4 linked regions of the Diceros bicornis minor genome follow. The protein of the gene in region 4 purifies or fractionates together with the protein of the main gene of each other region. This does not show direct contact. Links are inferred from orthologs where the notes say so. Each region holds a gene or a part of one and is shown on either strand. Other genes may lie near its edges. The genes, in order: PGK1, SIAH1, EEF1A1 and GAPDH.

Region 1 (7,696 bases), on a different chromosome or scaffold from region 4:
TACCAAGGGGTAGGAATGGAGGGAGCGAGGCCATGACTCGAAAGGGGTAGCATGAAGGATATCTTGCTGGTGATCAAACAAAACAATAATTTTGTGTCTTGATTATGGTAGGAGTTACACAAATCTATGCACGTGATAAAACAGCACAGAACTATACACTTTATTTCAATGTCAACTTCCTCCCTTTGATATTGTACTCTAATTATGTAAGATGTATCCAACGGGGGAAACTGGGTGAACACAGGACCTCTCTGTACAACCGTTGCAGGACCTCTTTGCAACCTCCTGTGAATCTATAATTATTTCCAAACAAAATGTTAAAAATATTGATTTAGTTGGGTTAAGAATATCAAGTCTCTATCACTTGAAATCTCAGGAGTCCAGGCCCAGTTCCATTAAAAGCTCTCAAAGGAACCATGCCCACCCTTGCTTCACTACCCCTGACTGGAAAATTGAGGTATTATGGCTGTCTTAGAGACTTTCTTTTTCTCTGCTCTCAGTTTTTCCTCTCCATTTCTTTTTCTACTACATCAAGGCTGTTGCTTAACAAGTTAAAACACATTAGAGAAAAACAGGTTTAAAAAAGCACGGGGGAACAAGTAAAAGGGAAGTGCTTCACAAGTTGGCAAATGAGTATGACTGGCAACCTGTGAGAGGAAGAAAGGAAATGACATGGCAAAAATAAGCAGGAAGTTTACTCAAAGAGCTGTAAAGTCAACTGGAGTCCTAAAAAACTGAGGTGGAACCTGGTAATTATCCAGTCAGTTTCTGGCTATCTAATGTTCCCTCAACAAATCAGTCAATTCCCCTTGGCAATTCAAAGCAGGGGCCAGAAGACTCAGCAAACCGAGTTCTCTTACGCAGGAAAAAGAGAGGAGGCAAGTGAAGCAGTCACTACTCAGGAGGCCCCATTTCTGAAACACTACCAGCAACCACCACGTAAAGGCATTGAAACAAAAAGAAATTTGAGCTGACACCACATGGCTGCCCAGGCTCTTCCAAAAAGTAGTCGGTTAGAAAAAGGTACATTAATAATCAGGGAACAAAGTAACTTCTTGTCCTCAGGCCAAATAAGCAGAATTTATCCAGATTACATGAGGAAAATTGATTGCAACCTTCAGTAGACAAAAGGTCTATTTTAACCTGTCCTTGTTCATTATGAATATTTAGAGGATCTGGCTGGTAGCCAAGGAGATCCAAATTCTAGTTCTAGCTCTGCCAACCTGCTAGTTCAGTGACCTTGGACAGGTCATTTTCCATCAGCAAAACAGGACAAGCCAATCATTTCAAGGCTCAGGGTTAATCTGTGTTAAATGAAACTTTGAGCCCTTGGGCAGAAAGATATTTCATATTAGGTCCAGAAGGAGAAAAGATAAGCACCTCCTCTAGTCCCACTCCCAGCCAGCCCAGTTAATTCCTCAAGCCAATTTCCCTGGGGAGAGAGGAGATAAAGCCCAAGACTGAAGTTGTAGGAAGTTGACGAGCATGATACCCCACCTCTTGTCTTTCAGCTGGTGCATGCATCTGGAAAGGTCTGATGTGAGCCCAGTGGAGATGGGAGGAAATAATTAAAACCTAAGATCTAGGGGCCGGCCCTGTGGCTTAGCAGTTAAGCGGCTTAGCGGTTGAGCACGCGCCCTCCGATCCCGGGCGCGCACCGACGCACCGCTTCTCCAGCCATGCTGAGGCCATGTCCCACATACAACAACTAGGATGTGCAACTATGACATAAAACTATCTACTGGGGCTTTGGGGGAAAAAAAAGGAGGAGGATTGGCAATAGATGTTAGCTCAGAGCTGGTCTTCCTCAGCAAAAAGAGGAGGATTATCATGGATGTTAGCTCATGGCTGATCTTCCTCACAAAAAAAAATAAAAAATAAATAAAAAACCTAAGATCTAGTTGCATGCCAATGTCCACCTGTCTTGTTTTTCATAGGGTCTATCCCCTTTCCTTAAGATCACCTGAGGAGTAGAAAGGGCCCTTATCTAATACTAGGATTGCTGTGATTCCTAATTTGTCCACCAGGTGTTTCTCATGGCCATAAGCTACTGAGTTCTTCCATTTCCATAGCCAGGCCGACAAGGCCACTTGCAAATAGTGACCATAATGAAATTAGAGGGAAAGGGAGAGCTACATGAACTTTTAGGGTGCCCATACAATTCTCTAATTCATAGTGCCCTCATATGTTTAAGCCTAGGATAAAGGGAGATACCCTTCTGCCTTATGTATCTGTTAATATCCAAAAGATGCCCTCATTTGAACCAGCCCAAATTGGGAAAGGGGGTGGATCACAGCATTCAGATGCCTGCCCATCCATCAACCACTTCCCCAAAAGGACAAGACTGCACAATGCTATCAACTCAAGCCCTTATGGCCGCCCAACGGCACTACCCTTCGATCCTGTCAAGGCATATGAACAGCCAAGACTATCAGTTACACACCTAACTGTCCTCCTGTACTTTGCTCCTGGCATGCACAAACGTACCACATGTTACAAAAAGGATAAATGTAAAAGTTCCATACACCATACTAGTAATTTGGGCAGATAAGGGAGAAGCTACGTTTGTAAGTGACCAGGGATCCACGTATGCAGTGTAAGAGACCCGAAAGTGCATGGAGAGCCCTCCCCACTTCTAATATCCTGCTTCTCTAGCCACCTGTGGGGTGAGGTTGGAGAACAGCAAGAATGAGCAGCCACACCCTGCTCTAGCATTACCCAGCATGTGTCACAATCGTGATGCAAACCCCATGGCCTGGAGTCCAACCACACCATAGGCCCTTCTCACCCTCCCACCCCCAATGCTTTAGAGGGTTCTACTGAACATCTAAATCACCACGCTCTGGGGAAGATTTCCTTTTGTGAAGGGACCTTTGAAATGTGGGCCGTTTCTCATTTGTCTGGGATGGTCCAGGGCGGTGGGGGAAGGGGAACTAACCAAATGACCTTTCAAGGTCCCTTCCTTGGGGCCTAGGGATTTGCAGGATAAGCATCAGGTCCCACCTTGCCGACTGGGAGCTGGGGCCGACAGAACTGCATTTCAAGAATAGGAAAGAGGGCAAAATGGGTCCCGGCAATCTGAGCCCTTTCTCAGTGGATCCACCCCTAAAGGGCAACTACGGCTCGATTTCTGGGCTGGGGAAAATGAGGTTAGAAACCGTAACACCCGGGCAAAGCCTCAGCTACAACGGTGGGCAGCCTCGCCCTGCCTGGCTAGGGCCCATGGGGCCGAGTAGAGGCCTAAAAGCAACTTGGGGCAGTCGGGAAAGCAAGTCGGCCCCAGCCGGAGAGACTGCGCGAGAGCCGCGAGGGCGCGCAGGCACACGTGTACAATTACCTCATGACGACCCGCTTCCCCTTCACATTCAGCTTGTCCAGCGTCAGCTTGTTAGAAAGCGACATCTTGGCAATACAGCGGCGGCGACAGGCCGGGGGATCAAAGAGCAGCAGACGAAACTGCCTACGTGCGCGAGAGACGCGTGCCGAATGCCCAACTCCGCGCGGGCCCCGCCGCTCCGCCTCCCGCCCCGCCACGCCCCGCCGCGCCCAACGCGCCGCGAACAGCAGCCGCTATTGGACGTAGCCCAAAGGCGCCGGCGCACTGCCATTGCTCCGAGGCGCTGTCCGTTTGCTAGGGCGTTGGTGGACGTGCTGCTTCCGTTTGTCACGTCCGGCACGCAGGGAGCCGCTGGGAACCTTCGTGACTAGGGGCGGGAGCGGAAGGCGGTGCCGCGGGGCCCGCAAGTTGGGGGGAAGGGAGCCGGGTGGTGGACGTGGAGAGAGTGAGAGGTTCAAGGCCGCCACCCGGGTCTCCGCCGCCACCCGGGTCTCTGCCGCCGCGCCCAGAGCAGCTACAGCGCCGCGGAAACCCGCGACAGCTTGGGGAAAAGCGCCAGCCTCCATCCCACGGAATTCCCGGCAGCCCTACCAGGATCGATGCAAATGGCACCTCCCTTTGGAAAACTGTGGTTTCCCGGCTCCCCAAAATGGAATTCTCCGCAAGGCTGCTAAGCGGCTTTAATAATGGAGACCTCGCAGAAGTCAGGAAAGGCCCAGGACCCCCCGCACGCCCCACCTTTTTAATAATAAAAAGTGCAGTGTAATTCTTCTGGTTACAACACAGTGCTACAACATATAGCATTTTTCATATATTAACGAATGCAAAACTCGGAAGTAGGTACTGTCATCCTCATTTTACAGATGATGCATAAAGAGGTTTAGTGACTTGCTTAGAGTTTCAGATCTTGTAAGTGATGGGTTCAAACCTAAGCAATCCAGATGTAGAATCCATACACTTAACTATACTGTAATACAGACACCATTGCTAGGAACTAGGTATTTGGTGTCCACATGCTTACAGAGTTGGCTGGAATGAAGTAATTTGAATCACAAACAAAAATTTCCCACGTATGGCACTCGTCCAGGTAAGATATAGGAAATATTAATTCATAGTGCACTGGTATTGAGACACAAATGTGTCTGTCTGATAATGAGACACAAGTTTAAAGTTACAAGATAAACATTAGTTCCTTTCAATCCTGTCAATGTACATTTGGGAAACCTTCATGGAGTTACTCCAAATGAATCTACATTTAAAGCCCAGATGGGCCTCCTGGCCTCATCCATGATCAGCTCTGCATATATTTAGCACTTATTTCATTCCATCTGGATTATTGTGGCAGTGCGAAGCAATTCCTTTCTGATAAGATAGAAAAGCAACCAAGGGCATCATCAGGGAAACTAAAATAAGCAATCTGACAGCCTGAACTTAACAATACTTCCCAATTATTGAGCACTTACTGTATGCCAGACACTGTGCTACAGGCTGAACATACATGATTCATTTACTCCTCACAATAGCTTTGTGAAGTAGGTACTATTATTATCTCTATTTTATAGATGAGAACATTAAAGCTCATAAAGATCAGGAAGTTTTATCCTCTACACATCTGAAGCAGTATCAGAGATGCAAAGATCCTAAGATGGGAAAGAGCCTTAGACAACACAAAAAGTCCAATGTTGCTGGAAAATAGAGTGGGAGGAAGAGAGGTCTAAAATTATACTGAAGAGGCAAGGTAAGCAGGGACCAGATCCTTTGGGCCTTATAACCATGATAAAGATGTGATATTCATCCTAAAAGCAATGAGAAGCCTTTTGTTGCAGTCATTTTTGCCTACCCAACAGCCTTTCCCCAGCCATATCCTTTCTTGCTAACAGAAGCCCAGTTTGATTATTGGGCCAGTGACAGGGAGGGTAGGCTTATGTCACAGCCCCACGGGATGAATCATGGTTGACTTCAATACAATACGGTTGTCTAATAGACCTTATTCAAATTTTCCAAATTTGTGTTAATAATGTCTTTTATAGCAAATATCTTGGTCCCAGATGCAATCCAGGATCACACGTTGCATTTAGTTGTTTTTTTTCTTAATTTTTTGTTTATTGCAGTAACATTGGTTTATAACATTGTATAAATTTCAGGTTTACATCATTATACTTCTATTTCTGCATAGATTACATCATGTTCACCACCCAAATACTAATTACAACCCTTCACCACACACATGTGACGATTTATCCCTTTCGCCCTCCTCCCTCCCCCCTTCCCCTCTGGTAACCAACCATCCAATCTCTGTCTCTATGTGTTTGTTTATTGTTGTTATTATCTACTACTTAATGAAGGAAATCATACGGTATTTGACCTTCTCCCTCTGACTTATTTCACTTTGCGTAATACCCTCAATGTCCAACCAAGTTGTCACAAATGGCTGGATTTCATCGTTTCTTATGACTGAGTAGTATTCCATTGTGTATATATACCACATCTTCTTTATCCATTCCTCCCTTGATGGGCACTTAGGTTGCTTCCAAGTCTTGGCTATTGTGAATAACGCTGCAATGAACACAGGGGTGCATGTATCTGTACGCATTGGTGTTGTCAAGTTCTTTGGATAAATACCCAGCAGTGGAATAGCTGGATCATAAGGTAGTTCTATCCTTGATTTTTTGAGGAATCTCCATACTGTTTTCCATAGTGGCTGCACCAGTTTGCACTCCCACCAGCAGTGTATGAGAGTTCCCTTCTCTCCACATCCTCTCCAACACATGTTGTTTCCTGTCTTGTTAATTATAGCCATTCTGACGGGTGTGAGGTGATATCTCATTGTAGTTTTGATTTGCATTTCCCTGATAGTTAATGATGTTGAACATCTTTTCATGTGTCTGTTGGCCATCTGTATATCTTCTTTGGAGAAATGTCTGTTGAGGTCTTTTTCCCATTTTTTAACTGGGTTGGTAGTTTTTTTGTTGTTGAGATGCATCAGTTCTTTGTATATTTTGGAGATTAATCCCTTATCCAATGTATGGTTTGCAAATATCTTCTCCCAGGGCCGGCCCCGTGGCTTAGCGGTTAAGTGCACGTGCTCCGCTGCTGGCAGCCCGGGTTCGGATCCCGGGCGCGCACCGCTTCTCCGGCTATGCTGGGGCCGGGTCCCACATACAGCAACTGGAAGGATGTGCAGCTATGACATACAACTACCTACTGGGGCTTTGGGGGGAAAAAATAAATAAATAAAATCTTTAAAAAAAAAAAAAAAACAAATATCTTCTCCCAATTGTTAGGTTGTCTTGTCGTTTTGTTGATGGTTTCCTTTGCTGTGCAGAGGCTTTTTAGTTTGAGGTAGTCCCATTTGTTTATTTTTTCTATTGTTTCTCTTGCCCGGTCAGACATGGTGCTTGAAAATATGTTGCTAAGACCAATTTCAAAGAGCGTACTGCCTATGTTTTCTTCTGGAAGTTTCATGGTTTCGGTTCTTACATTCAAGTCTTTAATCCATTTGGAGTTAATTTTTGTGTATGGTGTAAGGAAGGTAAGGGTCTACTTTCATTTTTTTGCATATGGCTGTCCAGTTTTCCAAACACCATTTGTTGAAGAGACTTTCTTTTCTCCATTGTATGTTCTTGGCTCCTTTCTCAAAGATTAGCTGTCCATAGATGTGTGGGTTTATTTCTGGGCTTTCGATTCTATTCCATTGAGCTGTGTGTCTGTTTTTGTGCCAGTACAATGCTGTTTTCATTACTATAGCTTTCTAGTATATTTTGAAATCAGGGAGTGTGATACCTCCAGCTTTGTTCTTTTTTCTCAGGATTCCTTTAGCTATTCGGGGTCTTTTGTTGTTCCATATAAATTTTAGGATTCTTTGTTCTATTTCTGTGAAAAATGTTGTTGGAACTTTGATAGGGATTGCATTGAATCTATAGATGGCTTTAGGAAGTATGGACATCTTAACTATGTTAATTCTTCCAATCCAAGAGCATGGAATATCTTTCCATTTCTTTGTGTCTTCTTCAATTTCTTTCAGCACTGTTTTATAGTTTTCAGCATACCGATCTTTCACCTCTTTGGTTAAGTTTATTCCTAGGTATTTTATTCTTTTTGTTGCAATTGTAAATGGGATTGTATTCTTAATTTCTCTTTCTGCTACTTCATTGTTAGTGTACAGAAATGCAACTGATTTTTGTATGTTGATTTTGTATCCTGCAACTTTACCATATTCATTTATTACTTCTAAAAGTTTTCTGGTGGATTCTTTAGGGATTTCTATATATAAAATCATGTCACCTGCAAATAGTGACAGTTTCACTTCTTCCTTTCCAATTTGGATCCCTTTTATTTCTTTCTCTTGCCTGATTGCTC
Region 2 (7,630 bases), on a different chromosome or scaffold from region 4:
CGAGTTCTTACATGTTTAAGCATGTCTGTTGGTTGCCTTTTGTCTTAATTTTTTCCCTCTGATTACAGAAATAATACAAGTTTCTTATAAGAATATAATAAAGCATAATGTATTCTAATACTGACGCACATGTGAATTTTTATATATCCTCTTAAATCCCCATCTTCCCTTGACTTCTGAGGTGCTGCCTTCCTGGTTTTCTCTCACCCTTGCTTTCCTTCTCAGTTCTTTAGGCTTTTGCTACTCCTGTGGGCCTCACTCAGCAGCGTTGGTCACACCTGGGAGCTGGTTAAAAAATGCAGAGTCTCAAGCCCAGCTGTACAGCAGTTCTGATTCTAACTCAGAATCTGCATTGCAACAAGGTCTCTAGACAATAAGTAAGCACAATAAAGTTTGAGAACTGTTGCAGTCTAGATGCCACTACCTTTTCCTTTAATGAACTTTTAAATCTTTAAATGTTGGGATTTCTTTGAGGCCAGCTCTTCTTCTCTGTGACTTCAGGTAACATCTGTACGGTAACAACTCCTAATCTCCAGTCGTAACTCTTTTGTGTCTCAACTGCTTCTTTGATTAGACATCTCGTGGGCATCTTACTCCTCCTTTGCATTTCATCTGTTATCATATTGCAGTATCTAGCATGGTGCCTAATAGACTCTAAGTATGTGCTGTTTTTTACCAGAGGCGGAATCCTCAAAATACAGTGATTTAGGCAGTAAAAAAGCAAATGTACTTTGCTTTACACATTTGAGTTAGCGTTTGCGTTTTCCTCTCCATTTCCTCTATCATCACCTTTGTTCAGACTTCTTTTTTTACAGCAGCCTTCTGTCAGATCTTGTGTCCTGGGCTTTCCCCGCTTTAGATTGTCAGTCTTACTAGACACACAACTCTTCTATAGCTACAAAGTTTTCAGAGTTATCTTCAGGATAATAGAGCTTTTAGGAAAACATGCACAATTTAAAAAAATTTCTCTTATTACTTTGCTGCAGTTCTGGAAACTGAAGATAGGTTATATAATTTTTTTTCTTAGCATTGTTTTATAATTTGATTTTTAACTTTTGGCATTTTTAAGCTGATGAATTTTTAAGGAGACTTGCCTTAATTTTTGTCAGAGTGTAAGAAGTAAATCTTAAAATAGAAGCGATTTTTAACATAATTTAACAAACATTTTCTGCATAATATCTATCACAATATCAAATGTAGAAAGTTCCTTTTTTGCAAAAAAGACTTGAGGAAAGCCCTGAAATTTTTTTTTTGCAGGGGAAGATTTGCCCTAAGCTATTATCAGTTGCCGGTCTTCCTCCCCCACCCCCCACAGCCCCAGTACATAGTTGTGTATAGTTCTAAGTGTCTTCTTTGTGAGCCACCGACACATTATGGCTACTGACAGACAAGTGGTGTGGTTCCGTGGGAACTGAACCCAGGCTGCTGAAGAAGAGCGTGTGGAACTTTAACGGCTAGGCCATCAGGGCTGGCTCAGCCCTGAAATGTTTTTTTGTTTTATTTTTGGTGAGGAAGATTGGCCCTAAGCTAACATCTGTGCCCATCTTCCTCTATTTTGTATGTGGGACGCCACCACAACATGGCTTGATGAGCAGTGTGTAGGTCTGCACCCGGGATCCGAATCTGTGAACCCTGGGCCGCAGAAGCAGAGCACACGAACTTAACCACTATGCCTCTGTGCCAGCCCCAACCCTGAAATATTTTGAATGGAGAAGTTTTATTTAACCCATTGATTCCTAATACAGAGAGCAAATTCATAATCTGAACCTGTACTTTTATTTTACAATAAATATTATGTCGTTTCTAGGAATAATTTTTGGAGAAATAAAAGAAGGGTAGTGATATTTTTTACTAAATTAAGAATGCAAATCTTCTTATTTTGACTAATTGTTTTTTTTACTAAATTAAGAATGCAAATCTTCTTATTTTGACTAATTGTTTTCACAATTCTCAATCAGACTAATCTTTATACCTTTTTTATTGTCCTCTTTGAAGGAAATATAGCTAAAAATCACCCATATCCTACCACTCAGAGAACTCACTCATTGGTCATTTTCTGGTGTGCAGTCTTTCTGATTTCTCATTCCTTGCTCCCCCTGTTGCCCCATACCTCCCATGTATGTTGTTTGTAATTTGCTTTACAATACATTGTGATCCTTTTAACATATCTGACTACATTCCTCCATTTTAAACTTTTATTTTGTATGTAACTGTATTAGCTGCCTGTTGCTGCTATAACATAACATTTTCACAGGTTCAGTGGCAGGCATTAGGATATGGACATCTTTGAGGTCTCATGACTTGCCTGCGGTAGTGTATTTGTAAACTACAAGAAAATGGTAAGCACAACATTGTTGTGTATTAATTAGAGTAGCCAGGGATGAGGTTATGATTAATCAGAGAAATTCTTCATCAGTCATTTATGAAAGGAAGCAAAGGTTCTCACATGAAATTGAGAATAAAAGTTTATAAGTCCATCTCCTTCTACTGTTAAGTATATTAATGTGGCAAAGCATGGTTAAATGCTCTGAAATTACTAAGACAACGTTAAAGGCTGATTCTAAAATGTTTTGATTTAGATTAAAATCTATTTAAACTTTATACCAAACTGGGCTTGAGATGTAGGCTTTAGAAAGTGTAGATAATGGTACACTCTTGCCAAAATTTGAGTTTTTGCTAACTTTGGGATCTATGGGCTTGTCTTAATGTAATGTAGTTTTTGTGAAATTTTCAGCTCTTTGTAAAACCAGTGTAAGTAAATTTCTATCTAGTCGAGAAATTCTGTTAAGGTTTATTATGCTAAAAATTAGGTAAATGGCAGTTGATCTTTGGCAGACATGTTTGATCATTTGTACAAGCTCAAGGCATTTTTTAGAGTGTGTATCTGGAACCCACAAGTTCTAGCTCTCTAAGTAGTTGATGACCTCAGGCAGAGCAGGAAACTTTCAGAGGTCTCAGGTGAATACTTACTTATTTTGGAGTATGTACCACCTATGATATACATAAATTACCCATCTCCCTTAATCCAGACAAAAGCCACGGGAGGCGGGAAATATTGTGCCAGTTTTAAAGCTGAGGAGGTGGTGAAGACTGGGTTTGAATCCAAGTGTAGATGACTCTAGAACACCCGCACTTTTACCGTCCTGACTCACTTTTGGTAAGTTGAGAGGTTTGTCCATAGATTAATGATTTTCAGACGGTGCTGTAAGGCTCTGTGCTGACCCTTTGAAAGTCTGGGAAAAAATGAAATATTTTTTTGCTCGAGGAATCAGTTATCCCCCCTTGTTTTATGCATGTGGCTTCTGTCTTAATTCTCTTTGGAAAGAATTTCTCTGCCTAAAACATTTGAAGTCTCCTGCGCTAGAAACCAGAGGCACATCTAGAATGAATATGTATTAGAAAATAAAAACGTAGGTGATAGTAGTTTATATTTGTCAATGGACAGACTGTATCTGTTTTCAATTATATTTCTATTCCTAATGATACTTTGTGTAGCCTAATATTAAGATGAGGTCAAGGTGATTGAACAAACTATTAATAGGGTGGGGATGTGATTAGAGTTAAAATTTGATACTGAAAGTGGGTAATCTACAGTTTCCTGCACTGGGCTCACTCCCCACACCAGCTCTTGCTGCGTTTAAAGGCTGCCCTAAGCATGATGTCATGACGAGTTAAACCTCTGAATGCACTAGCTGAGGCGATGCAAATCTGAGACCCAGGATTTGATTGGGGCAAGGGTATTGCTTGTTTAAAAACAAAACAAGCTGCTCTATTTAATGAGGCCATTTAAGATGGCTTTCCCAGAGAGAGAATATAATCTCAATTTGGAGGTTAAAGTAGGAGTTTAATATGGTTATGTGTGTTTACTTCTCTCACTGCAAAGTCTTTTCGGAGAGAAGGGGAGTTTAAAATATGGTGCCGACGGGTAGAAATGGAAAAGTGAGTTAGAATTGAGGAAATACAGTAGTTGACGCCCCGTAAATAGTTACTGAATGAAGTGGGGAGAATGCTTTTACTCTATAAAAAGTTAAGAGTTCGCACGGTTTATCAGCAGGGTATAGTGCAGAGAAGAGCGCTTGTGTGGCCACATGTTTCCTAGACTCTCTGTAGTTCTTGGGTTGAAACCGTACGCAATTGCCGATATCCGACTATTTCGGCCTTCAAAAATGGCATGTTTCGTCCTAAATGTATGCTGGTGGAATGCTGAGGCGTGCACAATGTCGCTGGGGTAGGGGTTTTGCCCCGCTGGGTGGGAGTCGCACAAGGTGGGGCCCGGGTGCTGCGCTGGGCCGGTGGGGTGGAGCTTGCTGGCCCCTGAGCCCTGCCCCTCCCGCCGGCCCCGCCCCGCGCCGGGCGGGCGGCAGTGCCTTGGGCGCCGCAGTGAGGCCGGCTGGCGCTCCCGGTTGGAGCAGGCCTTCCCAGTTGCGACCCGGCTCCAGCTCCCGCTCCAAACGGACCTCCTGGCGGGCCGGACCCTGCAGTAGCTCCAGAGCCGCCTCGGAGAGCGCGCCTCCTCCCCCCGCCGCCGCACACTCTGCAGCCGCGTCCTTCACCAGAGCTGGCCGGAGCCTAGCTGATGAATCTGGGGACGACAGACTTCCAAGACAGACCGAGGTTTAGGGCCCAGCAGAGGATAGCTCAGCGATGGCTCCCATTTTTGGAGACGCAGGCAAATTTGAGCTCCCGGGAAGGTGTGGTCGACTCCTCTGTCTTTGCCTCCGTAGCCCGTGCTTCTGCAGAGTGAATGGAGTGTCTGGAGCAGGGCCCTGACCGTCGCTTCTTGGCAGCGGACATGCTTAGGAAGGTGTCCAGGAAGGGCCTCTGTTACAGATTGTCTTTGCTTCTGGGGCAGCGGCTATGAGTTGCCCGATTTCCAATGACCGGGAAGTCCGGGAAGTCTGCCTTACCTTTTCTGTGCTCCTGGAGGGGCATCTTGCTCACTTGTTTACCAGCAGCTGGGACAAGGAAGAGAAAAGGTATTGACATTAAGAGACTGGTTGGGGCCCGCCCGGTGGCGCAAGGGGTTCAGCGCCCGCGCTCCGCTGCCGAGGCCCGGAGTTCACCGGGTCGGATCCCACACCGAGGCACTGCTTGGCAGGCCATGCTGTGGTGGCGTCCCATAAGGAAGATGGGCACGGATGTTAGCCCAGGGCCAGTCTTCCTCAGCAAACAAAGAGGAGGATTGGCAGATGTTAGCACAGGGCTGATCTTCCTCACAAAAAAAAAAAAAAGAGAGAGAGACTGGTTGCTTAAACTGTGAAACGGGACAAAGTTGTTGTAAGCCAGGGGAATCTGACTGGATCAGGGAATAGCTGCAGCATAATTGAGCTCACAGTGACGTTTCTTTTGATCTGCTGTACTTTTCTCAGTTTAAATCAAATTTCACGTTATGTCATGACTTCTGCAGGGTTGTCCAAAGACACTTGAGTCCTTGGTTCCTACTGCAGGGCTGCTGTGTGGTTGGGATTCTTTTTCTGTTTGAAGATGGAGCTAGGTTCCCACCTCTGGAGCTTTGGGAGGTTTTAGCAGCTGCTCTCTTGTAATACCTCCATTCACAAGAAATATTGGCTACATGTCACTTGTTTTCACACTTTGAATAGGAATTTAAATTGTGCTTTCTAGAATGTTTGGAAAAATAAGAAAGATACATTGTAACATGAGCCTGAACTATTGATGATAAACATATAACTGTTTTGCTAGGTCAAGAAATTAAAGTGTTTTTCTTGCTTAGTAAGTTACATTATGTTGATTTGATTACAAACTGAGTTTACTGCCCCTCCATGTGATTAGCTGTTTTGGTTTAGTGATTTGAAAGGCATTGGTGGCTTAGACTGTTTTGTGCTCAAGGAGCCACTTTCCATTTATTATGTTTGCTCACTTCAGTGAGCAGCATAAAATGGACCATGAAATAGACATACAGCATACATACAGGGCGTTTGGGCAATGCTGACCCATTGTTTTACAAGTGACCTAAAATGATGGATCATCATATGCACAAAGAATCTCCTCAGGGGGAAGCTGGATTACAAGAGAGTACCTTTATAGTCTCTTTGTTGGGCTAGGACACCTGTGGTGTACAGGGCTTCGATGATGGGAACTGATTCGTGTGCTCCATGTGATGAGCTACATTATGGTGGAATTCTGCTGTACTTTTGTTTCCCTTTGAACTTTAGAGAGAGTGGAATTTATCTTTTTTTTCTCTTTGCATCCTCAACCCCCATTTAAGGTGTGTATCCTTGAGTAATCTAGAACTCAGATTGTATTTACATGGTCACATTGGTAACCAGCATTGTTTTTTGAAAGTTAAATTCTTTGAAACAGAATAACAATTATAATTGAGAAAACATTAAATTTGAGGCATTAAATTTTAATTTTGTGGAAATATGGCTTATATAGTTACTGGGAGTACACTCCTGGACATCGACTGCTCTTTTGTCACCCCCCAGATAAACAGTGGCCTGCCGTATCCCAGCAAAGGTAGATTCCTGGGAAAAGGTGCTTGTGTCATCTTTCCTTCAGTCTGACAAGTTAGTTACATTGTTGATCATTCCTTCCAGATGACATTTCTCTCTTAAATAATAATGTTTATTACTGTGCTGATGAACGCTCCAGCAACATTGGTGAACTCTAGGGTACAAGGAATTCTTTAGCTGTTGACTCTTTCCCTGAGCTCCAATGTTGTGAGTGTGTGTCTGGTGCTTTTATATTTATTCTTTTTTTTTCCTTCTTGAGGAAGATTTGCCCTGAGCTAGCGTCTGTTACCAATCTTCCTCTTTTTTTGCTTGAGGAAGATTGTTGCTGAGCTATCATCCGTGCCCATTTTCCTCTATTTTGTATATGGGACACGACCACAGCATGGCTTGATGAGCAGTGTGTAGATTCAGGCCTGGGATCGGAACCTGCGAACCCTGGCTGCTGAAGTGGAGTGCGTGAACTTAACCACTATGCCACAGGGCTGGCCCCTGTCTTCCTTATTTACCTTCTTTTCCTTGCTTTCCTTCTCCTTTGCAAATTATATCTGATTTATATTAATGGAATGGAAGTAGACTAGAATGATTTACTTTCTCTAAGTACCAGACTAAAAACTTTGAGGATGGCCCTCCATTTCTCTTGTCCCTCTTTTGAGGGAGGTACTGATCAGTAGGAAACAAGATTAATACCCAGCTAATGTTAAGGAGCTAGAGGATGAAGATGGAGGATGGCAGCAGGCCCTTCCCCTTGCGATGCCCTCCATTCCCCAAATATGCCTCTAGAGCAGATAACTGTTCACCATTAAGAGGAATTAATCAAAGTCAACTCCCTGGGGATCCTTTGGATCACTTACAAGGCCCTGTAGCTTTCAACAGCTGACACAGAATGGGAAAGAAATAGACTGAGTAGGGAAATTGAACACAGGGAGGAGAAAGTCCAATCAAAATTGACTTGATTGAACTTAAGCTTAGTTGTTTCTGGTCCAGTTTCTCTTTCAGCATTTATTCCATGTAGTCCATCCAGGGACAATTTTTAACATTTTTTTAAGAAAGGGAATTCTAAATGTGTTCTGGAACATTTTGAAAAGAGATTTTATCCAGTGTACAACTCCTAATAATCAAAATGTATATTTTATGTCATTTATATGTTTTTTAACCTA
Region 3 (8,253 bases), on a different chromosome or scaffold from region 4:
ATAACTTAAAACTGCCACACAAAAAAACCAAATGGTCCACAACACATTCTCCTTTCCTTCTGAAGGTTTTACGATGCATCATTATCATTAACCAGTCTTTTACTATTAAACTTAAATGGCCAATTGAGACAAACAGTTCTGAGACCGTTCCACCACTGATTAAGACTGGGGTGGCAGGTATTGGGGATAATATTCATTTAGCCTTCTGAGCCTTCTGGGCAGACTTGGTGACCTTGCCAGCTCCAGCTGCCTTCTTGTCCACTGCTTTGATGACACCCACAGCAACTGTCTGTCTCATGTCACGAACAGCAAAACGGCCTATTAAAACAAATTTTACATTACTATTAGAAACTCTTGGTAAGACAAAGGCAATTATTTTCCATCTTTAGTAAAACTTCCTAAGTGCACTGGTCAGTCAGTCATCCTTACCCAGAGGAGGATAGTCAGAGAAGCTCTCAACACACATGGGCTTGCCAGGAACCATATCAACGATGGCAGCATCACCAGATTTCAAGAATTTTGGGCCATCTTCCAGCTTCTTTCCAGAACGACGATCAATCTTCTCCTTCAGCTCAGCAAACTTGCAAGCAATGTGAGCTGTATGACAATCCAGCACAGGTGCATAGCCAGCACTGATTTGGCCTGGATGGTTCAGGATAATGACCTTGGAGAAAAGATTTGCATTTCAGTGTGTCTCAAAGAGAGTTAAAGTTCTGGCAAGAGATGAGAATGTGTCACTTTAAAGTGTTACCTGAGCTGTGAAGCCAGCTGCTTCCATTGGTGGATCATTTTTGCTGTCACCAGCCACATTGCCACGACGAACATCTTTGACAGACACGTTCTTAACATTGAAGCCCACATTGTCCCCAGGAAGAGCTTCACTCAATGCTTCATGATGCATTTCAACAGACTTCACTTCAGTTGTAACATTGACTGGAGCAAAGGTGACCACCATGCCAGGCTTGAGAACACCAGTCTCCACTCGGCCCACAGGAACAGTACCAATACCTAAAATGTTTACAACACAGTATCATAAACACACCACATACCAAGTAGCAACCCATGCAAATTACACTGACAGTAACGTTTCAACTTACCACCAATTTTGTAGACGTCCTGGAGGGGCAGACGCAAGGGCTTGTCAGTTGGACGAGTTGGTGGCAGGATGCAATCCAGAGCTTCAAGCAGTGTGGTTCCACTGGCATTACCATCTTTACGGGTGACTTTCCATCCCTTGAACCAAGGCATCTGCAACACAACGTCAATTAGTGTTACCATGAAACTTGCCCCTTTCAGAGTTTTTCAACTGCTTTGAAAGCCACTTACGTTAGCACTTGGCTCGAGCATGTTGTCACCATTCCAACCAGAAATTGGCACAAATGCAACTGTGTCGGGGTTGTAGCCAATTTTCTTAATGTAGGTGCTGACTTCCTTAACAATTTCCTCATATCTCTTCTGGCTGTAGGGTGGCTCAGTGGAATCCATTTTGTTAACACCAACGATTAGTTGTTTCACACCCAGTGTGTAAGCCAGAAGGGCATGCTCACGGGTCTGCCCGTTCTTGGAGATACCTGCTTCAAATTCACCAACACCAGCAGCAACAATCAGGACAGCACAGTCAGCCTTTTAAAGAAAACAAGGCCATACCTTGTTAAAGCTCTTCAAAAGGAAGACAACACCATGTTTTCAATGTATAAGACAAACCAAGAGTTACTGCCGATAGTTATTAAAACTACAAACCTGAGATGTGCCTGTAATCATGTTTTTGATAAAGTCTCTGTGTCCCGGGGCATCAATGATGGTCACATAATACTTGCTGGTCTCAAACTTCCACAGGGAGATATCAATGGTGATACCACGCTCACGTTCAGCTTTCAGTTTATCCAAGACCCAGGCATACTTGAAGGAGCCCTTTCCCATCTGTTAGGGTTGGATTAAAAATGGTTACTTGCTAACTAAGACACGATCAAATGCCAGCTTGAAATTCCTTACCGCACTTATCTAGCTAGAAATGCTCGATTCCTCTTCACAATGGCTAAATCTAAGTGGCTTTCCCTTATTCTCAAAACATGGTTACAAAACTGACTCAACAGCAAACATTAGGTTATACCGTTTTTATCCAGTGTGACGTAAATATCTAGGCTAGTGACAATAATTTTTCAAAATCTTCATTTAACGTCTTCAGCAGTAGACTTCTCATTCACCTGTTAGTGATACCTACCTCCGCAGCCTCCTTCTCGAATTTTTCGATGGTTCTTTTGTCGATCCCACCACATTTGTAGATCAGATGGCCAGTAGTAGTCGACTTGCCCGAGTCCACGTGTCCAATGACCACGATGTTGATATGAGTCTTTTCCTTTCCCATTGTGGCTTAGATTCAGCGGTGGTTTTCACGACACCTAAATTGAAAGAAAAAATAAACTTTAAGTCACCGTCCCAAAGGCTTGAAAAAAGCTACGATCCAAACTCAAAAGGGCAAACTCCAAGTTGCATTACAGCAGCGCCCCACTGGCCCCGCTCTCGCCTCCAGCCCCGGCGGAGCCGACCACGCCGCCCCTCCCCCCGGCCGAGGACCGCGGGGGCGGCGGCCGGGAGCCGGGGCACGGCGCCGGCCCTTTGTGTGGTGACTCACGCCCGCCGGGCCCGCGTCCTCCATTTTGAGCGCCGCCAGGGCCTGAGCGGCCATCTTTCCGCGCACGCAACTGGTGCCGCGCAGCCGGCGCGCCCCGCCGCACCCGGGCTCCCTCCGCCCCCGCCCGCGCCCGCACGAGCGGCCCCGCCCTCCGCGCCTCGCGGCGGCCCGCGCCCGGCAACCCGACGACGCGGACGAGCCCACACGGCGGGATCCGGCCCGGCCTCGGCCACTCCACCCGCGGGGGACACCGTGGTGTCTTCTCAACTTCAAGCGGCCGGGGACCTCACCCGAGGGCAGCAGGGGCCCCGCACGCGGCGGGCGCTGCGCCCGAGCCAGGCCTCAACCCCAGCACGAGGCGCAGGGCCTTCCGGAAAAGCCCAGGCCGCGAACCGCACCACGTCCAGCCCCAAGTTCGAGGTCAGGAGCCGCGTGAGGGGGCTCCGCGGAACGGCGGCCGAGAGGCACGCGAGGCCGGGGCCCGCCGCGCAGGCCCGGCCCGGAGGCCACACTCGCGCTCACCTGTGTTCTGGCGGCAAACCCGTTGCGAAAAAGAACGTTCAGGCTGACCACGGCGCTTATATACGGTCTTCCCCCCCTCGGAAAAGGGGGCGGGGCCAGCACACGACGCGCTTTCCCAGCTCTCCCCGCGCCGCCGCCCAGTGCACTCGCAGCCCCTCCCCCACTCTCGGGGACCGTGCGCCATGTGCGCTCAACCCGCTGAAGAGCACACCTCGCTTCGCGCATGCTCCTCTCGACCCCGATGACGACGAGAGCCACCGGGAGGACCGGGACGCACGCGCCCTCAGTTCTAGGTTAGTGGGAGTTTAACGACGGTCCCTGGGATTCCCCCAGGCAGAGGCGAGTCCTCTTTTTGTATGAGTTACTCTCAGCACCAGCGCGGGGTGCGGCGGCGAGAAGGCGGCTGGCGGGCACGTCCATAATCTTCCTGTACCATTCCTGGTTTAACTGCAAAGATGGTATCGATATTGGGGTGTCCCTTCATCCCGCAATACACCTACCGTCCTCAGTCCTGCCCTCTCGAGGGTCCGGAACAAGCCCCTCCAGCCGCTTCCTCCGCCCTCCGTGCCCCGCCCGACCTGAGGGGAGTGCAAGGCCCGAGACCCGGGGGCTCCCTGCCCGGTCCGAGAGCCGCCCGCGGTTCAGCTTGGAGGCTGTGAGCCCGACGGATGTGCTCCCGGGCTGGCCTCTTGGCTGGTTCCGTTCAGAGCCAGCTGCTTTTATCGAAGGCCGCATCACATGTTCGCCCGGTGTGGTCTCCACATGCCCAGTGTTTCAGTTCAGAACAGAGTTCATGCCTACAGTTTGCTTTACTTCTAACTCTAGTTTTGTTACAAAAGAGACCCTGAGTGTGTGTGTCTACCCTGGTGGTACATTTTTTTCCACTGTACACTCGATTGCACGCATGAAATACCCAAAAAGAATTTTTCAAATTCAGTCTTGCCACATGATCTCATGTAGAGGCTAAGAGCTACAGCCTCAGCAAGATTATCCTCCGCGTTTTCCTGTCCCCAACACTTGCTGTGAAATCACTGCTTCTCAAAAATGGCCTATCCTATTTAAATAAATGGCTTCATTTTCTGTCCTATTGATTGTAACTGAATTTTAGCATAAATCTAGGGCGAAATCTGATGAGGCCTTTTTGGTTGACAATCAGGGCAGACTGAGAAATACTCCTCTGAAGAAATAAGAACGTGTATTTTTAATGAGCTAATTACAAGAACATTATGTCTTTTCTTCCACGTATAGAACATCTCTGCAACTTCTCGAGGCAATCTATTAAATATTTGAGAAGCTACTAAGTGTCCAGTGCTAAGCGAAGCTCTGTGGCATGTGAAAAAGAAATACTTCTTTTTGGAGAGGAACCCACAATCAAATTGGAAGAGGAAAACAAACATAAAACAATTGGGAAGCAGTTAAAGACAAACTTGTATGCTGCTTACTACTTCATTGTAGAATATAGTTCTTTCAGTTCTCACAATCTAAATGCCTTTTTTTCTTTTTAAATGAAAGAAGCCTTCTAGAATAGCCTTCCTTTATCTTTTTTTTTTTAACCATTCCTTGTACATATAAACTTCTAAAAATCAGGTTTTTCCATTTCTTCATTAGGTTTCTATCCTTCTCATTTGAACTTGGAGATAGTTTTCATGAAAGAAACGAGGCCATATAAAGTTTCCCTAGAAATACATATAACTAATATTTTTCTAGCAACAAAAGCCTTTTCTATGTCTATATTTCTAATTTCTCTCTTCTCACAAATTCTTCTTTCACATTGCATTTTCCTAGTGCCCTTACCCAGTTATATACATGTAGAATAAAATTATCTTGATATGCTAGTCCATGTGTGTAATAAGATAAAGATGTAAGAAGTAACAGTGAAAATCAACTCCTAGCAATAGACCAATGCAAATACCTCTGCTCTTATTTCCTTGGAAATATTAATTACTGTTCTCTTTGGAACTAGATTCCCACATAAGCCATATTTGTATATCACAGAAATATAAACTGCACACTGTGTTATTTCAGATTAAGATCAAAGTGCCAGATTTATTATTTTTCATGCCTTCTAATAGGAATGGCAAAATTTTAAAAATGTAAAGAAATGGTTATTTAGTGACACGAGGGAAGGAAGCAAAGACTAAAGAAGACTACAAGTTGAATATTTGAAAGTTTTACATGGAATCCAGAATTGTAGTTAATATCTAAGGAAAAAAAGTCAAAATGAAAGTGGATGTTGGTAAGAGGGAAAAGTATCAAAGATAATTTCAGTTCAGTAAAATAAAAGTGAAAAAAGTGATCTCTGTGAAATATGCACAATTCATTAAAATGTGACAGTGCAAACTCAAGTACTTTTATATAATACTAAAATTGTGATAATTGGAGAGATAATGCTTTCAGGTGAATTATTCTGTTTGAAAAGATAGACCTACTATAATTTAAATAGTAATCTTTGTAGATGTGTGTGTATATTCAGCACTATGTCGGACACGGGAATTCTTTAAGAGATGACCACAAACATTTCCACAGGAGCTTATAAAAACTACAGGTCCTGATTCAGATGTCACCTTTTCATTTTCCTAGTTGCACCTTGACTGCTTTGGATGGTGAAAAAAAGAAATCCAACATTCCAAGTATAATTAAAGTAATGAAATGATCCGAAAGTGTTCCAGGAACAAATAATGGCAGCTGAATTTTCATTATTATGCCCAGAAAGAAAGGAAAATTGAAGAAGTTTGACTCCAAAGCTATCCCAGATTATAGGCAAGTTTTCCGCAAGGCCCGGTGATTGCAGGTGAGAGTATACACTTTATAAACACCTTCTAGAGAATTCTTTAACACAGCACCTAAGGAAGAGCAAAGTTATACATAGTCTTTGATTTTTGTGTAAGTAACCTACCGGGCACCACTGACTGGTGCGAGGGCCGCCGAGACTTGGGCGGGGGCGGGGGGGCGTGTCTGGAGCCATATTGTGAGTAAGGGTTGGACACGGGTCACAGCCTCTTCTCAGGGCCCGGCCCCCACTTCTGCTCTCGGCCGGGGCCGGGGCCGGAACCAGGCGGCGGCGGGGGCGGCGCTGCTGTCGGGCGCCCCGCGCCGCGCCCACACCTGCGCCCCGGCCGCCGCGCCCCCGCCGCCCCCCGGAGGTCCCTCTGGGCGGTCCTCTGACTGCGGAAGGAAGCGCCGGGGAGGAGACAGAAAACCCCGCGTGGCTGGGGGGGTCGGTTTCGTCACCGCGGCGTAGCCTCTAAAACACTGAAGCAGATGTTATTTTCTTTTTAAAAAGTCCCTTTCCCCAGGCCCTATGTGTTAAACATAATCGTAGCGCATTTTGTCCGACTTGACAGCAGATACATTATGCCTTTTACTAACTTACATGTTAAAACGCAACGGTAACATTGTTGAGACTTGTAAATGTGTTTTGGGGTCATAATCTAAGGTCATATTTTGCTTAAGATTTTCCTTAAAGTTGCTCATACTATTTAGAGTAGCAAACTCTAAAAAAGGATTTTAGTTATTAACTTAGTAAAAGGGCGAACAGTAATAGTTCTTTGATGTTTCTAATTGTGATTCACCAAGCATCTTTCGGTATTGGCTAATCACTCTGCTATTGGGCTTACTTTAAAGCAGCTTTAGGTAATTACGTTTTGCTGTGGCTTGCCACCTTCCTGTTGCCTGTGCCAATTGAAAATGATCATTTAAAAGGTATTTTTTTTCTTTTTTTGTGTTTGAGGAAGATCAGCCCTGAGCTAACATCCGATGCCAATCCTCCTCTTTTTTTGCTGAGGAAGATTGGCCGTGAGCTAACATCTGTGCCTATCTTCCTCTACTTTATATGGGACGCTGCCACAGCATGGCATGACAAGCGGTGCATAGGTGCGCGCCCAGGATCCGAACCTGCGAACCCCGGGCCACTGAAGCAGAGTGCTCGCACTTAACCGCTTGCACCACTGGGCCAGCCCCGTAAAGGGTATTTTAAAATATAATTAAGCCAAGGAATTATTTGGACTGAGAATCCAAGCATAATGTTACTTCGCTGTGCCAAGCACTGTTCTAATATTTGCAATATTTAATGTAATCCCACTGTTTACTGATGGAGAACCTGTAGGCAACTGATAATTTATGCGTAATAAGCAAATACAGACATACGTTCTTTTTTAAAGTTTCACTTTTTTGCACAAAATGGTAAAGTACTACATATCACTTTGCTTTTTTCATTTAATATATCTTGGAGATCTTTTCTTTTGAGTACGTTAAAGCCCAGCCGGGCAGCATTGGAACCCAGGTAATCTGACAGGAAAGTTAGTCTTAACTTGTACCAGCGGGTCTAGGCAGCCTGCTCGAGTGAAAATGGCGGTGGGGTTGGAGTCAGAAAGTTGGGACTCAGTGCTTGCTCTTCTGCTTCCAGGTCTGTGACAGCCAGCAGGGCATCTGTGGCATGGGTCTGCTCCTTACTCACACTTAGCACCTGCCTCACAGTTCTAATGTGCAATGATGTGAAAAGATATGGGGACACTCAATTATCTAGTTTTGTTTTTTTAAATTAATTAATTTATTTTCTTTTCTTTTTTTTGGTGAGGAAGATTGGCCCTGAGCTAGCATCCATGCCCATCTTCCTCTATTTGATATGTGGGACGCCGTCACAACATGGCAGATGAGTGGCGTAGGTCTGTGCCCGGCATCTGAAACCAAGAACCCGGGCCACTGAAGCAGAGCATGCCAAACTTAACCACTACACCACTGAGCTGGCCCCTCAGTTATCTAGTTAAAACCGAATTTCTACAGGCTTTCTGAAGAACGCCTGGCCTCAATTGGTATGCCCTGTGACACTAACTTGACTCAGTAGAGAAAATATACTCATTGGTATCTTTTTATTTATAAAAATTTTGAAATAAGCAATACATGTACATAGTAAAAAATTGTACAGAGGTGATACAGTGAAATGTTACTCTCTTTTAGCAGTTTAGAGGAAGCCTGAAGAATATGCCAGGAAGATTAAGAAAACTAAAGATATTCCTGCTGTGGCTCTCATGCCTCCAAATACGGTGCTTGCCAAGGTAGATGCTCTCTCATTTGGCATGAAGGAAAGGATAATCTTCCCT
Region 4 (7,424 bases):
CGGCCATCACGCCACATCTTCCCAGAGGGGCCGTCCACGGTCTTCTGGGTGGCAGTGATGGCATGGACGGTGGTCTGGAAACAGGGAGGGAGTGAAGGTCCCACATAATGCTCAGCATGTCACCCACTCTTCAACCTTCCTCCTCCCCTTAGGAAGAATTAAGGGTTAGAGTGACCCGAGCCAATCCCTTGGAACCCCCTGTGTCCCACAGCCCTAGACTATGTTCTAAGGAAACAGAAGGATCCAATTCTGGGTGAGAAATGAATGTGCTCTGGTCACTTTCTCCACTCATACCATGAGTCCCTCAACGATGCCAAAGTGGTCATGGATGACCTTGGCCAGAGGAGCCAAGCAATTGGTGGTGCAGGAAGCATTGCTGAAAAGAGAGAAAGAGCATTCCATCTTGTAACATGTAGTACTATCTGACCACTCCTTCATTCCCCTCTCAACTCCCCTCCGCCATGCTCACCTGACAATCTTGAGGGAATTGTCATACTTCTCATGGTTCACACCCATCACAAACATGGGGGCATCAGCAGAAGGGGCAGAGATGATGACCCTTTTGGCTCCACCCTTCAAGTGAGCCTGCAGTAGAGGAGGCATTACAAACCCAGGTTCTATCTTTCCAGGTTGAAGCCAGCCCCCTGCCCCCTTTCTGCTACACCAAATCTCAGGGTCAACTCCCCCCTCTTTAGCCTCCCTGCCACTCACCCCAGCCTTCTCCATTGTAGTGAAGACACCAGTGGACTCCACAACGTATTCAGCACCAGCATCACCCCATTTGATGTTGGCGGGATCTCGCCTACAAAGGACGACAAGACAAAGCTCAGGGACATGAGGTACCACGTACCCAAGGTGGTCACCCCATTCTAGTACCTCCCCAAAGGCAGATTTCTTCTTCCTGTTTCGTCTTCCATACTTACTCCTGGAAGATGGTGATGGCCTTTCCATTGATGACAAGCTTCCCGTGCTCAGCCTTGACTGTGCCATGAAACTTGCCATGGGTGGAATCATACTGGAACATGTAGACCTGGAGGAACAAATGAAGGCATCAAAGGACTGTGCTTCAGCCAGGCTCTGCTCCCCATACCAGCTGCATGGGCGGCACTCACCATGTAGTTGAGGTCAATGAAGGGGTCATTGATGGCGACAATATCCACTTTGCCAGAGTTAAAAGCAGCCCTGGTGACCAGGCGCCCAATACGGCCAAATCTGAGGGAGACAAAAGGTGAGAAGGCATGAGGAGGAGGAAGTACAGACTTCTACCCTATCATGTATGTAAGCAGCCCTAGGCCAACTCATCCTCTTTCAGAGGGAAGATGGCCATCCCACCACCAGAGAGCTCCAAGAGGTCTAATTTTATCTTCCTCCAGGCACAGCTTAGTCATAAAGTGAAGGCTCCTATCCTTTCCAAGAGGTGATCAGGCTCACAGACTTGCCCACCCCCTAGCCATCTGAAGTCCTTCAAGGAGAAACAGCAGTGCAGGGTACGCTGCTGCCATCCAAAGTTGGGGCACATGCCTGGCACATGGCATTCATCACCCCAGCTATCTGCCCTGGGAAGGCTTGTTCCTGTCTGGCCCAACTTCAGGCTACACCCTCTCAGGAGCAAGACTGTGCACTCAGCATCACCAAGCTCAAAGGGCAAGAGTAAAGGTCGCAAGTTAACTGGATGAGGAAAGCCCACCCATCTTCCAAGTCCCTCCCACAAAAGGGAAGGAGACAGGGAAAACATGGTTTCTCAAGCCCCTAATCCCTGGGCTCTAATTTGCTAAACTACCCGTCCTTCCTAGCTCTTTTCCAAAAATCAGGAGCAGTAGCAACAGATGTGTGTGGGAGAGAAGGAGGTGGAAGAGAGCAGACTGGTCAGGCCCCCAGCTGCAGAAAGGTCAGGCAGCTATATTTAACCTCAGATTAGGGTGGAGTGGGGATCTGGTTTCTGGAAGATGGAATAGGGAGAAGGGCAGGATTCCCAAGGCTCACAGACACCTAATCCTCCCAGTGACCTTTACGGCCTGGCCTTTGGGGTTGGGTCAGCTCTAGGCATGGATGAAAGAAAGGCGCTTCAGGGAGAGGCCGATGAAGAAAGGGGCTGCTGCTGCAGGAGCCATTTTGTGGTGGAAAATTTCTAACTCCCCATGACTCAGCTCCCCCAACATGGCACTAAGCCACCGCTGCCACAGCTCCCCCCCCCAAAAAAACATGCAAGAGGATCCCCATAAATCCCCGTTTTTGATCCATCAGAGAATCATCTAAGAAAAGCATTATCCCTGAGGGCAAATTCAGCTGGTTGTTTAAGGGATGGTCCAGGGTTAATATGGTCCCAGTTCTGAGGTCCAGCTCTTTTGAAAGCAAGAGCGAGGAAAGCCTTGCCTCACCTACTTTACCGGATAAAGGCGACTCCACCCCATAGAGGCAGGAGTTGGAGGGTTAGTCACAGGCAAGGGAGGAGGAGGAAGACTGAAGAGCTAAGGCAGGTTTCCTAACGGTGGTTCATTCATTTCCTTCCCAGTTGCAACATGGCGGCTGGGTTACCGCAAATGAACCCTCCCACGCTGTGCCTTCTGCATCCCCCTGCTGGGCCTGGGCCTGGCTAGGTGAGGGGAAGGAGGCTGGTGGGGGGAGAGGCTCCTCTCCAGCACATGACCTCGCAGGGCGCGAAAGGAAAAAAGAAGCCCCAGCTAGGAGATTAAGGGGATGGGTCCAAAGCAAGAACTGGGGACTCGTCTGCCCATGGTCGGTGGAGTGGAAGACTCCGGGCAAGCTGTCCCTGCAGGAGTGGAGTTACAGCAAGCGCAACAGCTGGGGGCGGGAGACACGAGGCCCTTTGAGGCGGGAGCCTCTGCCAGGTCTGAGCGCTGACCTTGAGTTCTCCTCGGTGGGGTCGCTCGACCATCCCACCCACCTTCCCCACCCGCTCGCAGAGATCCGGGTAGGGCAAACTGCTGGGGGCCGCAGAACTCAATGCCCCACACCCAGCCCATTCCCGAACTCACCCGTTTACTCCGACCTTCACCATCGTGTCCCGGGGACGCGGCTGCGGGAAGAGGAAGGCGAGCATTAGCACGCGGGGGCGGGAAGCGCTGGAGTCCGGCCGTCGCCCTCCCCGCCGCTCCCCTCCCCCATGCGTCCATTCCCAACCCGCGTTTCCGCACGTCCGGCCCCTGCAATGCGGAGGCCCGGCCGCGCACACCCCGACCCCGCACCGCGCAGCCGAGCTCCTGGCCTGCGCAAGCCCCGCGCCCCTTTCGGAACAGTTCCTGAGCCCTTGGTGGCCCCGCTTTGCCTGTTTTTACCTAGCACTGCGCAAGAAACACGGCTATCCGTGGACCGGGCAGGAACAGAGAGCACAGTCGCACACTGCTGTCCCAATTTATAGAGGCGAGGGAGGGGGGCCGGGGCGTGGCGACGCGGCCCCGCCTCCTGCCGGCCCCCAAGTGCCGGCACTGGGGCGCAGAGGCCTGAGCTACGTGCGCCCGTAAAACCGCGAGTAGCCGGGCCTGCCTTTTTTTTTTTTTTTTGAACCCGCCGGCTCTTCAGATGTGCCCGCACCACGCGTGTGGGCTAGGGACAGAGAGGGGGAGGGGACTGAGACTGGCCCAATGGGGGAGGTGATCGGTGATGGTGCCTAGGACGGGACTGTGGCATGAGGAGACTGTGGACTCGAGGACAGTGGTCCTGGTGAGAACTGAGGATATCCAGGAGCCAGGGAAGTTAAAGTTGCTGCACGGATGAAACGGGAAGATTTTGGGAGCTGGTGGGATGAGGAATTGGAGCCGGAGCCCGGGTCACGTTGGCGGCTGCACACTGCCACCCCCTCCCCCTTCTTTCCAAGGCTGAGGCACTTCTCCTCGAGGCTCTTCGGTAGTGACATAGGAACAGCCAAGTAGAAGGCCGGGGAGGGGCCAATCCGCCTTCTGCGGGGCCCTTCCCAGCCCCCACTTCCTCCTCCCCATCTCCTGGCTCCAGGCCTCTCTGGGCCGGGGGCCTGGGCTGGGCACTGGGCAGTGGGGCCTGGAGAGGAAGGAGGCTCAGGAAGATGTTTGCGGGGGGGAGGGTTTCTGCGCTGAAGGTCACGCTGTCCTGCAGCTCGGGCAGCCTGGAGACCTGATAATTGGGGCAGACAAACCAGGCCCTGTGTGCACCAGATGCTCTCCCCCAGGCCAGGGCCCCAGCGGGAGGACGGATCACTCTTGGGGGCTGGGTGGTGCCTCCCACAAAGTGTCTCCTGGGAAACCCGCGTGCCGCGCCGCCCAGGCTTGGAGACAATGCCCCTTTCACCCCTCCAGCCCAAGGCAGAGAGCGGGACGTGAGGGCGGAAGTCCCTCCCCACTCTGGGACGTGCGGCCCAGCCCTGGAGCCAGGGACTCCCCTTCACTGGCTGCGCCCGCCCGGGGCTGTTGGGGGCAGGGTGAGGAGTCCAGAGTAGGGAAAAAATGGGAGGTCTTGGGTACATGGTGGGAACAGGTCCCCAGCCCCTTCCCACACGTGAGGTAGAGGAGAGGATCCATTCCCCTCCGCGAGGGGTCAGGATGCCTGGCTGTGCCAAGTTTGTGAGCTGAGGTTGGAGAAAGGACTGCTTCTGAGCACGTGAAAGGAGTGAGGGTTTAGAAGGGGGTGGGATGGAATGGACGTTGCCTATCAGCAGGTGCTGGGGGACAGGGATCCTGGGGCCTCTTTGCTGGCCCAGCGTAACCTGAGACCAGCCCCCTTTTCTAACTGACAGGCTAAGTTTAGCCCGCCTGGTGATAACCTTTGCTTAAGAGGCAGAGAGGACGCTGTCGCACACCCAGACTCCAGCCCCAGTCCTTTCCCTTTCTGGGATTGCCCTCCCTCCTTGGGGCCCCAGAGCCACGGCTGTGCCTGTGCCTGTGCCTGGCAGCCATCTGCATGATTGGTGCCCAGGCTTTTCATGAACAGCAAGAACGGGGCCAGAGGGCACCTAACGGTGAGAGGAGATGGGAAGCGCCACACTGCAGAGTCTGCTGAAGTGGACTCAGCTGCTCCTGTTCCATTCCTGCTCAGGCTCCACCAGGACCATTAACCCTTTCCTGACAAGGGCCTTAGGAGCCCCTCCATGTTCCTGCACCACCCAAAGCAAGTGTCTGAGGTACTGTCTTCCCCTTCGCCTCATGCTTGTCATTTTTGATTATTGTTCTCTGCCAAAAAGAGGGAGCTCAGTGCCCAGGAGCACTACTGACGCAGTCTGCTGTTGTCATGACAGCAAAGACACCAGTGTTGTCATGACAGCAGGCTCCCTGCCTCCTGCTCCAGGTGACTCAGCAGAGAAGACGTGGGGAGGTGGAGGGGGTGGACAGCTTCAGGTGGCAGCACAGAGCAGTGCCTGCACCTGGGGGGGCCCGACTTCCTGCAGACCCTGGAACATGGGGAGGAGTCCCTGGGAGACACAGTCTCCAGAGACATTGTCTAGAGCTGGAGGGGATCATGCCCTGACCTTCCATTAGCCTGGCCAGGTCCTCAGAGGTGGGATTAGGGAGCACAAGTGTGGCCGGGGACGGACACACAGAGGATGCCAGCCCTTGGTCTAGAGCAGGGTTTCTCAACCTCAGCACTATTGATGGCCATTTTGGGCTGAATAATTCTTTGTTGCGGGGTCTGTCCCGTGCATTGCAGGATATTTAGCAACATCCCTGGCTTCTACCCACTAGATGCTGGTAGCATCCCTTCCCCCTAGGTTATGACAACAAAAAGTCTCTAGACATTGCCAAATGTCCCCTGGAGGGCAAAATACCCCCCAACTTGAGAGCGCTGATCTGGAGTCTAGACACTGCATAATTCTCCAGAGTGGAGCAGTCCTGTCACTTATGCAGAGGGCCGAGGTCGAGAAGGGAAGGATGAGGCACTGAGGGGCACGAAGCATATCAGATCTTGAGAGGGGCCCCAGGACTCCTTGGCTCTTCTCTTCCTGGACTGATAACCCTCTCTCTGCCACCTGCATCTGGGCTAATGTGAAAGATGAAACAAAGAAACGCTTAGGAAAAATGTCTAAAAGTATATAAAAACATTTATTCATTAGAAAACAAGCAGACTGGCAAACATATATTCCCATGAAAGCAGCTCAACTCGGTTCAGTCAGGCAAGTGTAAGAGAAACGGCTCACATTATAAAGACCACTTATGCATTAAAAAAACAAGGAGACAGGCAAACCAGTATTTTACAAGGAGAATGGAATTCAAGGTCACCCACAAGATTCCCTGCACAGCAGGGATGGGAACAGGCTAGAGGACCCCTAGGACCTGTGCCTGCGAGTCCATGCTCTGCGGATGGGGGTTGTTTTCTTGGGTGTCTCGTCTTCTGTCATCTCTGCTGAAAGCTCTATTCAAAGAATTGGAGGAATTAGAAAAAGCTGAGTCACAAAGATGGTGAAAAGAGATCTCAGAGAACAAATGGGACAGCCCCAGCCCACACTGCAGAAATAAAACCTGAACTGCGCCTGCACAGGGAGGAAAACGCCCTCAAGCGAGCGGGTGGAGACTCTACACAGCAGGACCCCACCAAACCAGCCCCCCCCAAGCTATGTTCCTCCTGGGCTGGGCCAGGAGGGAGCACTGTACCTTCCTCGCTGGACTCATCACTCGAGAAGACAATTCTGGATTTCTTTTTTGAAACTGGCTGCCGGGTGTTTGGATGCCGACGGGTAGTACGGCGGGGCTCAGGTGTGACAAAGTCATTGTCCCAGGCTGCAGGAGCCAGATGCTGGTGCCTAGAGGCTAGAAAAGGCAGACGCATAAGTCCACAGAGAGAAAAAAAGGAGCCTCTCTAAGAAGTGGGCCTGGTCTGGTCTCTCTCCCGTGGGGCTGCCTCACGTACCAGCGGATTGTTTCCTGGCTGATGGGGCTCGCTGGCTACCTCCCTGGCCACTCTCAAGTTCCTCTATTGCATCCAGCCCTCTGGTGTGACAGGCCCGAAGCTTCTGCTCAAATTCATCTAGTATAGCCTAGAGGGAAAAAGAGAGTAAGAGCAGGCCTGGAAATATAGTTATTTCTATGATTAAAAAGAAACAAGGCCATGAAAAGACAAGGAGGAACCTTAAATATACATTACTAAGTGAAAGAACCCAATCCGAGAAGGGCACATGCTGTATGATTCCAACTATACGACATTCTGGGAAAAGGCAAAACCGTTGCAACAGTAAGAAGATCAGTGGTTGCCAGGGGCTGGGGGAGGGAAGGATGAACAGGGGGAGTACAGAGGATTTTTAGGGCAGTGAAACTATTCTGTCTGATACTATATGGTGGACACAGGTCATTACACGTTTGTCTAAATCCACAGAACATACAACACCAGGAGTGAACTCCAGTGTAAACTATGGACTTTGGGTGCTAATGACGTGCCAATGTAGGCTCATCGATTGTAACAAATGTGCCACTCTGGTGGGGGAAGTTGACAATGGGGGAGGCTGT

Evidence for each region.
Region 1: the proteins of GAPDH (region 4) and PGK1 fractionate together in Homo sapiens (co-fractionation; 4 studies listed by BioGRID and IntAct, with this or other methods). This does not show direct contact. The link is inferred for Diceros bicornis minor from reciprocal best matches to the Homo sapiens genes GAPDH and PGK1.
Region 2: the proteins of GAPDH (region 4) and SIAH1 purify together in Homo sapiens (affinity purification with western blotting; 4 studies listed by BioGRID). This does not show direct contact. The link is inferred for Diceros bicornis minor from reciprocal best matches to the Homo sapiens genes GAPDH and SIAH1.
Region 3: the proteins of GAPDH (region 4) and EEF1A1 fractionate together in Homo sapiens (co-fractionation; 3 studies listed by BioGRID). This does not show direct contact. The link is inferred for Diceros bicornis minor from reciprocal best matches to the Homo sapiens genes GAPDH and EEF1A1.

What each region holds. Positions count from the first base shown.
Region 1 is NC_080781.1:70,535,861-70,543,556, reverse strand, and holds the start of PGK1 (phosphoglycerate kinase 1), read right to left. Parts: upstream 3,484-7,696; 5' UTR 3,403-3,483; coding exon 3,338-3,402; intron 1-3,337. UniProt on the Homo sapiens protein: Catalyzes one of the two ATP producing reactions in the glycolytic pathway via the reversible conversion of 1,3-diphosphoglycerate to 3-phosphoglycerate.
Region 2 is NC_080771.1:2,322,117-2,329,746, reverse strand, and holds the start of SIAH1 (E3 ubiquitin-protein ligase SIAH1), read left to right. Parts: upstream 1-4,365; 5' UTR 4,366-4,876; coding exon 4,877-4,976; intron 4,977-7,630. UniProt on the Homo sapiens protein: E3 ubiquitin-protein ligase that mediates ubiquitination and subsequent proteasomal degradation of target proteins.
Region 3 is NC_080762.1:56,998,805-57,007,057, reverse strand, and holds the start of EEF1A1 (elongation factor 1-alpha 1), read right to left. Parts: upstream 3,225-8,253; 5' UTR 3,155-3,224; intron 2,400-3,154; 5' UTR 2,366-2,399; coding exon 2,222-2,365; intron 1,921-2,221; coding exon 1,741-1,920; intron 1,624-1,740; coding exon 1,327-1,623; intron 1,249-1,326; coding exon 1,098-1,248; intron 1,009-1,097; coding exon 752-1,008; intron 665-751; coding exon 430-664; intron 319-429; coding exon 194-318; 3' UTR 1-193. UniProt on the Homo sapiens protein: Translation elongation factor that catalyzes the GTP-dependent binding of aminoacyl-tRNA (aa-tRNA) to the A-site of ribosomes during the elongation phase of protein synthesis.
Region 4 is NC_080756.1:55,148,565-55,155,988, forward strand, and holds the start of GAPDH (glyceraldehyde-3-phosphate dehydrogenase), read right to left. Parts: upstream 3,358-7,424; 5' UTR 3,297-3,357; intron 3,038-3,296; 5' UTR 3,020-3,037; coding exon 2,997-3,019; intron 1,213-2,996; coding exon 1,113-1,212; intron 1,031-1,112; coding exon 924-1,030; intron 803-923; coding exon 712-802; intron 586-711; coding exon 470-585; intron 377-469; coding exon 295-376; intron 75-294; coding exon 1-74. Other genes in the region: NCAPD2 (condensin complex subunit 1), read right to left, coding at 6,251-6,336, 6,576-6,731, 6,832-6,958. UniProt on the Homo sapiens protein: Has both glyceraldehyde-3-phosphate dehydrogenase and nitrosylase activities, thereby playing a role in glycolysis and nuclear functions, respectively.